Linked DNA regions of Ovis aries. The protein of the gene in region 1 interacts with the protein of each later gene in a biochemical or structural test. Links are inferred from orthologs where the notes say so. Each region holds a gene or a part of one and is shown in the gene's direction. Other genes may lie near its edges.

Evidence for each region. The genes of interacting proteins can lie anywhere in the genome.
Region 2: the proteins of RAB11A (region 1) and RAB11FIP1 form a complex in vitro, tested with the Homo sapiens proteins (2 studies listed by BioGRID, with this or other methods). The link is inferred for Ovis aries from reciprocal best matches to the Homo sapiens genes RAB11A and RAB11FIP1.
Region 3: the proteins of RAB11A (region 1) and RAB11FIP4 form a complex in vitro, tested with the Homo sapiens proteins (2 studies listed by BioGRID, with this or other methods). The link is inferred for Ovis aries from reciprocal best matches to the Homo sapiens genes RAB11A and RAB11FIP4.

What each region holds. Positions count from the first base shown.
Region 1 is NC_056060.1:12,717,164-12,721,328, forward strand, and holds the start of RAB11A (ras-related protein Rab-11A), read left to right. Parts: upstream 1-1,361; 5' UTR 1,362-1,468; coding exon 1,469-1,508; intron 1,509-4,165. UniProt on the Homo sapiens protein: The small GTPases Rab are key regulators of intracellular membrane trafficking, from the formation of transport vesicles to their fusion with membranes.
Region 2 is NC_056079.1:32,239,989-32,244,001, reverse strand, and holds the start of RAB11FIP1 (rab11 family-interacting protein 1), read left to right. Parts: upstream 1-1,206; 5' UTR 1,207-1,270; coding exon 1,271-1,647; intron 1,648-4,013. UniProt on the Homo sapiens protein: A Rab11 effector protein involved in the endosomal recycling process. Also involved in controlling membrane trafficking along the phagocytic pathway and in phagocytosis. Interaction with RAB14 may function in the process of neurite formation.
Region 3 is NC_056064.1:18,348,682-18,352,775, reverse strand, and holds the start of RAB11FIP4 (rab11 family-interacting protein 4), read left to right. Parts: upstream 1-1,287; 5' UTR 1,288-1,302; coding exon 1,303-1,461; intron 1,462-4,094. UniProt on the Homo sapiens protein: Acts as a regulator of endocytic traffic by participating in membrane delivery. Required for the abscission step in cytokinesis, possibly by acting as an 'address tag' delivering recycling endosome membranes to the cleavage furrow during late cytokinesis.

The sequences.
Region 1 (4,165 bases):
ACATAATCTAGTATATTCACAGGTCCCAAGGATTGGGATGTGGACATTTTGGGAGAGCCTTTATTCTACTTACTACAGGCACCCTTGATGAAAACTTAAATTGCACACAGGTGTAGTGAGGTTTGACAATAAATGGGTACAGCTTTTTGGCATAAACATAGTGCTTATGTACTCAGTGTGTCCCACTCTCTGGGACCCCATGGACTGGATAGCCCACCAGGCTCCTCTGTCCATGGGATTTTTCAGGGGTGGGTTGCCACTTCCTCCTTCAGGGAATGAGATCAAGCCAGAGTCCCCTGCATCTGCAGGCAGATTCTTTACCACTGAGCCATCATAAGTCTCGTCACATACAGGGAGGCCCTGGTGTGTGATCTTTGGAAATCACTTGAACCTCCCCATCCACGTTTCTGCAAAAATGGAAATTGTCATCCTTTGCTCTGCATGTTAAAGAAAATAACTATGTAACCAGGTTCAGCTTAAAGGGTGACAAATAGGGTTCAAGAAGTTCTTGATGAATTTTGATGAGGAGGGTGGGCGAGGTTCTGTGAATACATCTGGAGACAGTTTGAGAGATTTCTGGAGAGAAGGAGTGGAAAGTGCCTGCCCTCGTATGAAGTTGGAGGCTGAAAATTCTAACAAAAGCAATCAACTTTTCATGGAAGCTTTCGAAGACGGCCGAGGTTAAAAAAACAAAAAGGGTGAAGTGTAGAGGATACTTAGGAGACACCTAGGTAACAGAGTACAGAACTGAAGGAAATGCATGTGCTCTTCCTAGGCAACTGAGTTTCGTGGCATTCCCTCCCTACTCAGTTCAAGAACACATATACCCCGCAGGTGTACAAGAGTCACCTTGTGAATAAGTACATGACTTATAAAATCGTGGCCAGGGAAAAAACAAAACCCAAACCAAAAGTGTAAGGAATACAGGTTCCACCGAGATTTGAACTCGGATCGCTGGATTCAGAGTCCAGAGTGCTAACCATTACACCATGGAACCGCCACGCTCACGATCCTGCCTTCGACTCTCTAATCCTTAGAGAACCCCGCCCCCATCCACAAACCGACCACCAGAGGCAGTGCTGAAGCGCTCTCCAGTGCCCCACTTCCCCGAATAGCGGCGAGTGGAGTGAGGGAGAGACTATTATGTATGGAGAGCAGCCTCTATCAGTGAGGTAAGCCGGGAGTACAGTGCTCATTAACCCACTCGAAACCCCTCCAAGCCCGGGAAGCTTGGACAACAGACGACAAACTTGCGCACGCCCCCTTTATTGGGCTGAGGGGCGGGGCGCCGCCCCCGGAAGTACTTCCCCCTATGGGTGGGGGCCTGCCGGAAGTGGCGTAGCGGCAGGGAGGGGTTCTTTACCGGGTCCGGCAGCTGAAGCTCGGCGTTCGGGTTACCCCTGCAGCGACGCCCCCTGGTCCCACCGGTACCACTGCTGCTCCCGCCCCTTCGCTTCTCGGCCGCGCAATGGGCACCCGCGACGACGAGTACGACTACCTCTTCAAAGGTGAGGCTGTGGGCTCCGGAAGTCTCCCTGGAGTCCCGGTTTGGGGGCCCGGGACACTCCCGGGGGACCCGCCCGCGGGTTGCCCCTGCCCTGAGATCGGCCTTCCTCAGCTCTTCCTCTCTGTGCAGCTTATCCTGAGGTCCCCCAGCTCAGCCCCTTTCCTTCCACTCACGGATGGGGGTCCTCACCACACAGCGGTCTCATAGCGACCTCCCCAGAGGCCTTAGGAAGCCTCACGGTCCCTACCCTGCGCCCCTCTCGCGGCCGACTGCCGTCTCTCGAATCGCTTTCCTTCCTCCTCGGGTTCCAGGGCCCCCTTAATGGGGCGCCCACCCCCCACCATCCATGTTTTCGGGTTCAGCGCCCCCTCCCCTTCGGTATACACCCTTCCTGAGCCCCTCCGACAGGCCTTTCCCTTCGTTCTTCACCTTTCTTTAGGCGAACTCTCCCATACAGATCTTTTTCTTATCTGCCTCCCTTTTCCCTCGGGCGAACCCTCCTCTGCCCTCGGACAGCCGCCTCTCCTCGCCCTCTTCTATCCCCGGGGCCAGGCCCTGGTTAAAAATCCGAGCGGGTCGGCGGCCCCACCCCCACCCGCCCCACACTTCTCGTGGCCCGAAACCTCGCATGGCCCCCGGCATTGGTAGCTCTTTTTCTGCCTTCCCTCGGCGAGTAGTTTACGAGCTCTCCCACGTCGCTCGTGCGACCCCGGCGGTGGGGGGTAGGGCAGGAGGGATTGTCCCAGCACCCACGCGCGCACTTGTCGCAGTGACCCGGCAGACCGATGTGACTTCCCACCCAGCCTTCTTTTCTCCTACCCTCCCTACCCAGAGGCAACCAGCCTGGGATAACTCTTGACTCTGTCCGAGACTAGGGGATACGGATGGGTGGTGGCTGTTATCCTTGCCAGACCTGAAGGCCCAGTTCCTGAGCAGGAAAGGTTGTACGCTGCACAAATAGCTTGCTTTATCGCTACGGACTGGTTGCTTCCTGCTGCAACGCTGGGAGGATCCAGCCTTTTGGTGTTTTTAGAACAGGAAGGGAAGCGTCCTGGTTGGCCACATACCTTTCCCCAAAGGTGGGGGAGCATGGGGAAGTTGTGTGCTCTTTGGTCAAATTAAATATTTTTCATAAGATAGGGAACCATGTAGTGCCCTTGGACAAAACATAGTGGAGGATGGGGAGTGAAAAAAAGAATTGCTTATTGGTTAGTCCGGAAAGAATCCAAATAGTTTTGTGTTTTTTTTTTTAATCGACAAAGATAATGGGTACAGTTTTCCTTGAGAGGAAAGTACAGTAAATGCTTTTTTTGTTGGATGAATGCTCTCTCTCTGATGCTGTTTCTCTGGTCCTGAGTTAGGAGGGCAGCCATCAGTACTATGCTGAACAAAGATCATTACCAAGGAGGAAGAAGCCATTACTATTAAAGCTTTACAGTGAAGGGTGGAGTTTGAAAAGAATGTTAAGCTTAATGACTCTTTCTGACTTTGCCACTGGGTGCTAAGTATGGTTGACTAAACAGAGCAGGAAACATTGCTTTACCAGTACTCTGCAAACCTTGGCCTACTAGTTGATGGGCCTACTGCCACTTAACTCTTCTGGGCCAGAAATTCTGGCCCAGAGTGAGTACCTTCAGTATCCACTCCCACCGCCTGACAGTGGGAAGTTGTTTACAGAGAAGAGGGTACTTAATCATTTTACAAATACAAAAAAGAAACATGGATTAGTTTACATACTGTTGGCTGAAGGCTTCTGAGGTCTGGTGAAATTACTTCAGTGAGACCCTGGAGACTGGGGTTTAGTCATTAAAGGGAGATTTGTTTTTTTTTACATAAGGGCTGCTTTTGAAGTAATTAATTTAGGACAAGATAGACTGTCATTCTCTTGTTTGGTTTACAACTTGAGTGTTGGTTATAGAACCTAGTTATTTCCTCACCAAAAATACTTAGTACCTTGGATTGGCTTAAGGGATTTTAACTTAGCTTTGGGGTTTAGACCACTTTGCTAACAATGATTGAGAAAGCCCAGGGCTTTGGAATGGCACAGGCCTGGTTTCAGATTACTGCCTCAGGTCTTACATTTGCTTTGTGACCTTGGGAAAGCTGACTTTTGAGCCTCAGTTCTCTCATCTGTAAAAATAAAATAGTATCTCTCAGGGTTGTTGTGAGAATTAAGTGAGACTGTAAAGTTTTAGCTTCTTTGAGAACTCAGATAATGTTAAAGAAGTTACTGTGGTTCTCAAAAGTTTTTTTTTTTTTTTCCTTAAAACCGTAAATCTATAACTGGAAGAGCATTTAAGTATTAGTAAAGAAACTTAAAACTAGAGCCTTCTAAAGTACCTTATATTTCCACAGGTTTTGGTTTCATTTGTTGTACACTTTGCTGTTAGAATGTTTTTAAAAATTCTGCTGAGAAAGATTTCCACTTTTAAAAAAGCTCTTAATAGGATATGAGTCACTTTTTAACTTCTTTGATGATTATATAGCCAATTTCTTATTTATACAATTTTAATTTAAAAAGAAGCAACAATAATTTCAGTTTTAAATGGTTTTATGCTATGTAGATATTCCCTGAGATGAGCTGCAGCTGTCTCCTTGGAAAAAGAACCTAGCAAACTTAATAGTTGAGGGAATTGTAAATTAGTTTGTAGCTCTAAC
Region 2 (4,013 bases), on another chromosome or scaffold:
TCGCCAATCTAAAGGAAACTGCGAACCAGGAAGTGCCTGATCGAGAGCCCAGGGTTAAAGAGCGAGGAGAGACTGCAGAGGGTCCAGCGAGGAGAAATGGGGAACTGCGCGGGTGGGGGTGGAGGGAGGGCCTCTGCTCCCGAGGAGGTCCGTGTGGCAATCCCATTTCCAGTTCCTCCTTTAGTCCCCTTCCCTGACTTAGCCTCTCGGCCTCACCTTATTTGGTGAGGGTAGGGCAAAGTAGAACGCTCCCAAGCCACGACAGGTGCCCCCTGCTTCCCCTTTTCAGGGCTTCAGAACATCCTCATCAATTGCCACCCACCTGACACCCTCCCCGGACCGACTTTCCCCCAGAGTAATGGCCCCAGCGGCCAAAGTAGGAAGAGCAAGGAATCTGGGATCGCCTTCGCAGTCGCTCGCATTGTTTTCGTTCTTTAGTCGCTAAGTCGTGTCCGACACATTTGCGACCCCTTGGACTCCAGTCTCCTCTGTCCATAGGATTTCCCAGGCAGGAATACTGAGTGGGTTGCCATTTCCTGCTCCAGGGGATCTTCCCCGCCCAGGGATCGAACCTGCGTCTCCTGCACTGCACGCGGATACTTTACCACTCATCCTCATATCTAACATTTATCGAGAACTCGCCCTGTGCCAGGTAACATGACTGTTTGTTTTTTTTTTAACAGCAATCTCTGAGGTGGTTGCTCTCTCATTTTACAGATAAAGAAACTGAGACCCAAAGGTAACTAAGGAATCTGTACAAAGCCAAACACCTGCCAGAGGGCAAGACCAGACTGGAAATGAGGTCTGCCTCGCCTAATCGCTGCTCCGGCCAGATCCGGTTGGGCTGGGCGACCTTTGGCCGTTGGGGACACCTTTCCACCTCTTAGCATCAACTCTGGGCATCACCGACTGCACGGACAGGAGTTGAGCAAGCTCCGGGAATTGGTGATGGACAGGGACGCCCGTGCTGCTGCAGTCCATGGGGTCGCAGAATCGGACACGACTGAGAGTGAACCGAACACAACCAACCACCCCTTAGGGTAGAAGTCTCCAAGGCCCGCCCCCGCCCGCGCGGCCCAACCCGGGCCCTAAGGGGCGGAGTCGGCCAGGTCCTGCAGGTGGGGCGGTGGGCGGGGCCTGGCTGAGGCGGGGCACCGAGGGGGCGTGACCGGAAGCCTTAAAGAGGCCGCGGCGACTGGGCCGGGCGGTAGAGGCCGCCGGTCGCGGCGATCACCTCCTTACTTTTCGGTTGGGTCGCAGAACCGTCACCATGTCCCTGGCAGCCTCGGCGGGCCGGGGCCCCGGGGCCGTGTGGTCCCCGACGCACGTGCAGGTGACGGTATTGCAGGCGCGGGGGTTGAGGGCCAAGGGTCCCGGGGGCACGAGCGACGCGTACGCGGTGATCCAGGTGGGCAAGGAGAAGTACGCCACCTCTGTGTCGGAGCGCAGCCTGGGCGCGCCCGTGTGGCGCGAAGAGGCCACCTTCGAGCTGCCGCCGCTGCTGTCGGCTGAGGCCGCGCCCGCCGCCGCCGCCACCCTGCAGCTCACCGTGCTGCACCGCGCGCTGCTCGGCCTCGACAAGTTCCTGGGCCGCGCCGAGGTGGACCTGCGGGGGCTGCACCAGGACCAGGGCCGCCGGAGGACCCAGTGAGTGTGCGGGCGGGTGGCGAGCGCGGGGAGACGGGCGGAGCGAGCACGAAGCCTGGCCGGAGCGCCGAGACCCTTGCAGAATGTGTCTCCCCAAGGGGACAGCCGGGGCCACGCCTTTGCAGAGGGGGACCCCCCAATCACCCCCCACCCCCCCCCCCAATCCCCCTCCCCCGAATCCCTCCCCCCAATCCTCCCACCCGCTCGGCCGGTTCTAGGATTCTCGCCTAGCTTCTTCTTCTTGGGCTGGCCTGCCCCGGCTCTCCCAGTAGGTGGGTTCCGGTACTTGGGGATTTTTTTTTTTTTTTTTTTTTTTGAATCTGCTGGACGGAGCTCAGCGTCTGGCATTTAGTAATCACTTCATGAATTTTTGATGAATTGAAACTATGTGTGGGCTGACGAATTCCTCTTATTAGCTGAGTAGCTGTGTATATTTGATGTAGGCATCAGCTTACGTGTAAAGCCTCCTGGGTATTTCATTGTACTGGACATCGAGCTGTGAATGGCTGGGCCGGGGCGCTGGGAAAACCAACTGGAGCAGTTAGATCCACTGACACCAAAGCCCTAGAGCCTCGCTCAGGGGCCGAGCTGGGGGCGTTACTGTGCTGGGTGGGTGTGGGTGAGGGGTGGGGAAAGGGGAACGGGGGCTGTCCAGCGAGGGCTATCCCCTACCCCCTTCTCACCAACGCCTTAAGGGTCGATCGGGAGAATTTGCCCCTCCCTCCTTCCTCTCCTCCTCTAGGAATGCTAGAACAGTTTGGTCTTAACTTTCAGGCTGAAATACACTAACCATTTTTGCCCTCGGCCCCAAATTAGTAAGGATTTCCCAGTGATGGCTGGAACCAGGGCCTGCGGTTGGCCAGGTTGAACTGAAAAGTAGGCCTTATTTCGCTCTGGAGTTTGCAAAGTTCTCTCTGGTCCTACTGAGTGGGGCGGGGAGGGGGTTGAGGGGGCAGGATGGCTGCCCACCTGTAGCTCCCCTCCCTCCTTACGATGTTTGTGTTAGGGTATCACACTCCTTTAGGGAAAGCAAAGCAAACCCCTGTGCATTCTGAACTGTTACCGGTTTGTGTTCTCTCAGTGTTTGGAATGGAACATTTGATTATGCTCATCTGGTATACCCAGAGCTAGCCTCCCTTAGAGCTTCCTCTCTGGTTCAGCAGTAAAGAATTCACCTGCCAAGGCAGGAGATGCAGGTTCTATCCCTGGGTGGGGAAGATCCCCTAGAGAAGGAAATGGTAACCCACTCCAGTATTTTTGCCCAGAAATCCCATGGACAAAGGAGCCTGGTGGACTACAGTCCGTGGGGTCCCACAAAAGTTGGACATGACTGAGCACACACACACACACAGCCTCGCTTAGCTTAATTGGTTGCTTTGCTGGACCTTAAATATGCTAGTCATGTTATCACCTAATTTCTGTGGTTTATGAAGCACTCTGATTCACGCTGTATGTTTTAGATATACATGGTATTTTAACTTTCCCTTGGGGAGGAAGCAGGAAGAGCCAGAAGATTTGATGTTACCAGACTCTCTTTTCTGTAGGTTCTTGCAAATGTTATCACTGCTTCCTTTATCCAGCCAAAGATCAACAGGCATTTCTGAGCTCGAATCAGATAAAAAGGGAGAGCCTAGAGGTGAGGATGGATGGGGTATTTTTGTGGCATCAGCTTACAAGCTGTAAGGTGAGCAGCAGCATCTTTGCTGACCAGGGGCTGAAGCAGTCCTAACTTTCTGCTTGATTAAATGACATTTGGGGCCTTGGATTTACTGTCCTTTGCCTTGTCCCATCCCAAATGTGTGGATATCATGTCTGTCTCTACCATCTGTTTCTTCTTATTCCCTTGAAAAGTAGATTGGATCTCCCTGATAGAGATAGGGATTCCAGATCTCTGGGTCTGGTGCCCACTCTGGCCCTGACTCATTGTTGGGCTTCAGGATGCTCCGTCTCTAAATACCCAAGTTTCCCCATGTACAGATGGAGCTTGTGGCCAGACTTAGCTGATATTTATAAGATGTTTCTGGATTCCTGGATTAATGGAACCCCATGTGTAGATTCAAAAGGTCCTGTTACTGCTTTGGGAGGAACGAAAACCTCCCAAAGTTCCCTATTTCAGGAAGGGTTCAGTCTCTGCGCCTTCATTTTTCTCATCCTCTCTGATGTAATTCTAAACCTTGGTGATTACTCCTGTCCCTGTTATATGAGCTTGTGACCACTTAGTCACAATATCAGCTTGTAGGAAAACCGTGCTTAGCTGATTTTTTAATAACTACAAAGGAAGCCTTCTTCGCTCCTCCAGCAGTAGGCAAAATCGCAAGCTTTCCATCTGTCGCTTCCTGGGACTTTCCAAAATGCTGGGGGAACTC
Region 3 (4,094 bases), on another chromosome or scaffold:
AGAAATCAGAGTAACAGGCAAAATGGAGTGCTGTCAGGGAAGGCTTCCTAAAGGAGGAAACCTCTGAACTGAGCTGGAAAACTTAAGTGCGGGTGGGTTCAGCCAAGACCTGCATTTGGGCTGGGTACAACTAGTGCCACGAGGGCCAGGCATGCTGAGCAACAAAAAGGAGGAGAAGAGAGCCAGGCCAGGTTCTGCAGAGCCGGGGGGCGAAACTGGGAGTCCCAGGAGCAGGGATTGGGAGCTAAGCAGGACTGGGAGGAGGCTAAGGTACAGGCCTGGAGGCTGCCATCAGCCCCAGGGCCAAGACTTTCCCGGGTTCTCAGCTTGAGGGTCCAGGGTGCAATAAAGGGGTGAGCGTGGGAACTCAAGGGAAGGGAGGAAACTTCCCCAAGATGCTGGGCGGCCCCAGGCCGGCCTTGTGAGCAGCTCTTGCTTTTCCTTCCTCCTGACTGCTCTGTCTCCCCTTACTCGCTTCTGTCCCAGGGTCCCCGCTCCCGCTCTCCCGGCCCTTGCCCAGCCCGGAGCTGGCCCTGAGTTCTGCTGGGAAGGCCCGTGCTGACCTAAGCCTGGAAACTATTCTTTAAGGGGCAGCAGAGAGGAGGGGAAGAGTAGAGGGCCTAGCTCCATCCCGCTGCAGACTGGCTAGGAATCCTGACCTGGCCCCCGACTGGCTGAGCGGCCTAGGGCAAGTAGTTCAACCTCTCTGAGTCTCAGCTTTCTCAGCGGCGAGTGGAACAAGTCCAGCGCGCTAATACAGGAAACCTCTAGGACACACTGAGCGCTCGGCACCGCCGGCGCGTACAAAGGGCGCGGTGAGCGGGGATGGGTTGGCGTCTGGTGGGGGGCTGAGGTGGGGGAGAGGCGGCTGGACCCCAGCGCGGGTGGTCCGGTGGGGGCGCTCGGGCTTCCTCGCGGACTCCTCCAAGCAGGGGCGGAGCCTTGGGGCCGCCCTGGGTTTCCGGGCGCGGGTCGCACACCCACCCTCCCGCTCTCTAGGGGACGGGACGAGCTCTGAGCGGCCCAGGGATCCCGAGCCTGGGGGCGGCGGCGGCGGGGCCGCGCGGGCGGCCGCCCTCGGAGGCGCGCGGCTCCTTTTGTCTGCAGCCTCCCGCTCCCCCGCCCGCCCCGAGCCGCGGGGCTGCGGCGCCGCTGCTGACACGGCTCGGCCGCCGCCGCCACCGGGCGGAGGCTGCGCGTCGCAGCGCCGGGCGGAGGGCGCGCGGCGATGGCGGCGGCGGCGGCGGCGGCGGCGCGGGGCGGGAGGGCGCGTGGCTCGGGCTAGCTGCGGGGCCGGCCCGGATGGCGGGCGGCGCGGGCTGGGCGGGCGCCCCCGCGGCTCTGCTGCGCTCAGTGCGCCGCCTGCGCGAGGTGTTCGAGGTGTGCGGCCGCGACCCCGACGGCTTCCTGCGCGTGGAGCGCGTCGCGGCGCTCGGACTGCGCTTTGGCCAAGGCGAGGAGGTAAGGGCCCCGCGGCGGGGGTGCCCGCGCCCCAGTCCCCCCACCCCCGGCTTCCTAGCCCTTTCACCTGCCCGCTCCCAGTCCCCGGCGGCGGCGGCGGCTGCAGCCCTGAGGCATCCCGCCGGACCTGAGGACTTCGAGCCCCGGGGCTTCCCCGCCCTGTCGGACCCTGGCTTTCCACCTTTCGCGCAGGTGCTGCGAGTGTCACGCATCGCGCCCCGGAGTGGGGAGCAGGGGGGCTTCTCTGCCCACCTTGCTTACCCCGGGCCCTGAGGGTCCCTCTAACCATTCTTCAGCCTACTCGGTATATGGGGCGGGGGGAACCGTCAGATTCTAGCTCTGGGACCCCCTCCCCTGCCTGCCCTGCGGAGACCGAATTGCAGAGGTCCGGTGCAGGAATCCCAGGACGGGGGCCGGGGTTAGGGGCGGGATGGAGTAGGGGGGAAGCACACGCCCCACTGGGCCTGGCCGAGGGTAGGAGAGGACAACTAGGGGCGCTCTACCGCCTCGGCCCCTTGACTGCACCCAGCCGGCCTGGAACCTAGCGGGAGGTGTCTGCCTTCGGCCTTCCTGGATTCTCAGCCTAGCGCCTGGTGACCACCCCTCCTCCCCGCACCCTGCGGGCTCCGAGGGGCAGGCCTGACTGGCAGCTGGCTGTGGCGGCAAGCAAGCCTGCCACAGCCAAGCTGGGGAACAGCAGCTGAGCAGTGTCTGCAACGGGGTGGGGGCCGCGCGGATCTGGGGAAAGCAGGAACAGTGTTAGCAGGGCTGTGATCCGAGGGTGGGTGCTGCCAGTAGGGTGAGCAGAGACCAGTGTCCTCTCATGCCATGGAGGAGAGGTGGGTATGTGTGTGTGGTGGGGGATGTGCAAGGCACCTACCTGGCAGGAGAGCATCCCACACTCCTGCTCCTGCCCACTCTGAAATGGTCAGGGCACGAAACCTTGAGTAGTGACTTTCCAAGGCCACCTGAGGCCTCTGGCTCTGCATTGGCACTCCCTGGCTTTCTGTTCCGGGAACAGCTGGGGCCTAGCATTCCAGAACATGGGAGAACCCGGGCCTGGTTGGGTTGGATCCATGCCTCCCTGTCACCTGGCAAGGGGGAAGGATGATAGATAATCGTCTCTTTGTGGTCGCTGGGCTGGGCTGGGGCCTGGGAGTCCCTGAGAGCGGTAGGTAGAAGAGGATGAGGCAGGTGTCAAGTCTGAGGACTCAGGTACCACGTGTGGGAGAGGCCCATTGCTGCCCGCCCTTTGGAACCCAGGCTCTCCCTCTGCCAGGATCTGCTCAGGGCGCTTTCCTGCAGCCCCTTGATCTTTCTTCCCAAAGGCTGGTCTGACCCCTCCCATCCTCTGAGGCAGGCTGCAGACCCCAGCTGGCCCTGGCTGCAACTGGAGTCCCAGAGCCACGGTCTCAATGGTGGGAAGAGCTTCCCAGCAGGCTCTGGCAGGCAGCCACGTTAGCTCTCGGTGAGCCCCTCACCAGCCCCACCTTCTCCCGGAGCTGAGCAGCTCCTCTTGTTTGCGCTTCTGCCTCTTAACACTCAGGAGCCAAACCTGCTGTCACTTAGTCATTGTGGTTCTTCACAGGGACTCACATGGGTCTCACTTCTACGTGGCAGTCTTTAAATATGTGAAAACAGCACTCCTGTCCCCTTCCCCCTCTCTCCCTCCCATCTGCCCTTCTCCAGGCCAAATACCCTCTATTCTTGAAGCCTCAGGCCATTTCCATAGGACCTGGCAGGGGCCAAACCTCTGGCTTCCAGCCCTGAAGCCCCATCAACTGTGTGACACTTTTCCTAGTAATAACATGGAGGGGCTGGACCAGGGACCCCCGGGACTGTTCCAGCCCCAGCGCATCACACACAGCAGGTGTCTGGGGGCAAGGCTGTCTTTTGAGAGGTGCCCTCAGGTTAAGTTTCTGGCCACTGAAATCCCTTGGGATCTTTCTTAGCCACCCGTGCCAAGCCAAAATGCCCCTTTATCCTGGAGGAGGATCAGTGATTTTCTTTTAAATGTATTTGTTTATTTAGGGTCTTGGTTGTGCTGGGTCTTAGTTGTGGCACGTAGGATCTTTGATTATCCTTGTGGCACGCGAGTTCTTCATTTCCAGCGTGTGGGATCTGGTTCCTTGAGCAGGGATCGATCCTATGCCGCCTGCATCAGGAACATGGAGCCCTGATTTTTCTTTTTAAAGCATAATTTTCTATCATTACAAAATCAGTTTATATGCACTGTGGGAATAGAAATATGGACAAGCAAAAACCAGAGTGCCATGTTCCCATCCCCCAGGTAGCCCCGCTGTGACACCTCGCTCACATCCTTCCAGAGCTGTTTCTATGCTTATATGTAAATTTTCTCCATAAAATGAGGTCATGCTGTGCATACTGTCTTGTAACCTGATTTTTTCCCAGTAAATGATCAGCACTTTTCTGCTCCAATAAATTCTCAGCTTAATTATTATGCATAACTTATTCAGATTTCCCTATTTGGCCCCAAAAGGCTGATCTGTGCTGTTTTGTTCAAACCACTTTCCTCACCAGAACCGTGCACTGCATCCAGTTGTTCTGACCTCTAGGTCTCTCTTTCTTTAATTCAGTTCTTTTTTTTTTTCAACTTGAATAATCCTGACTTG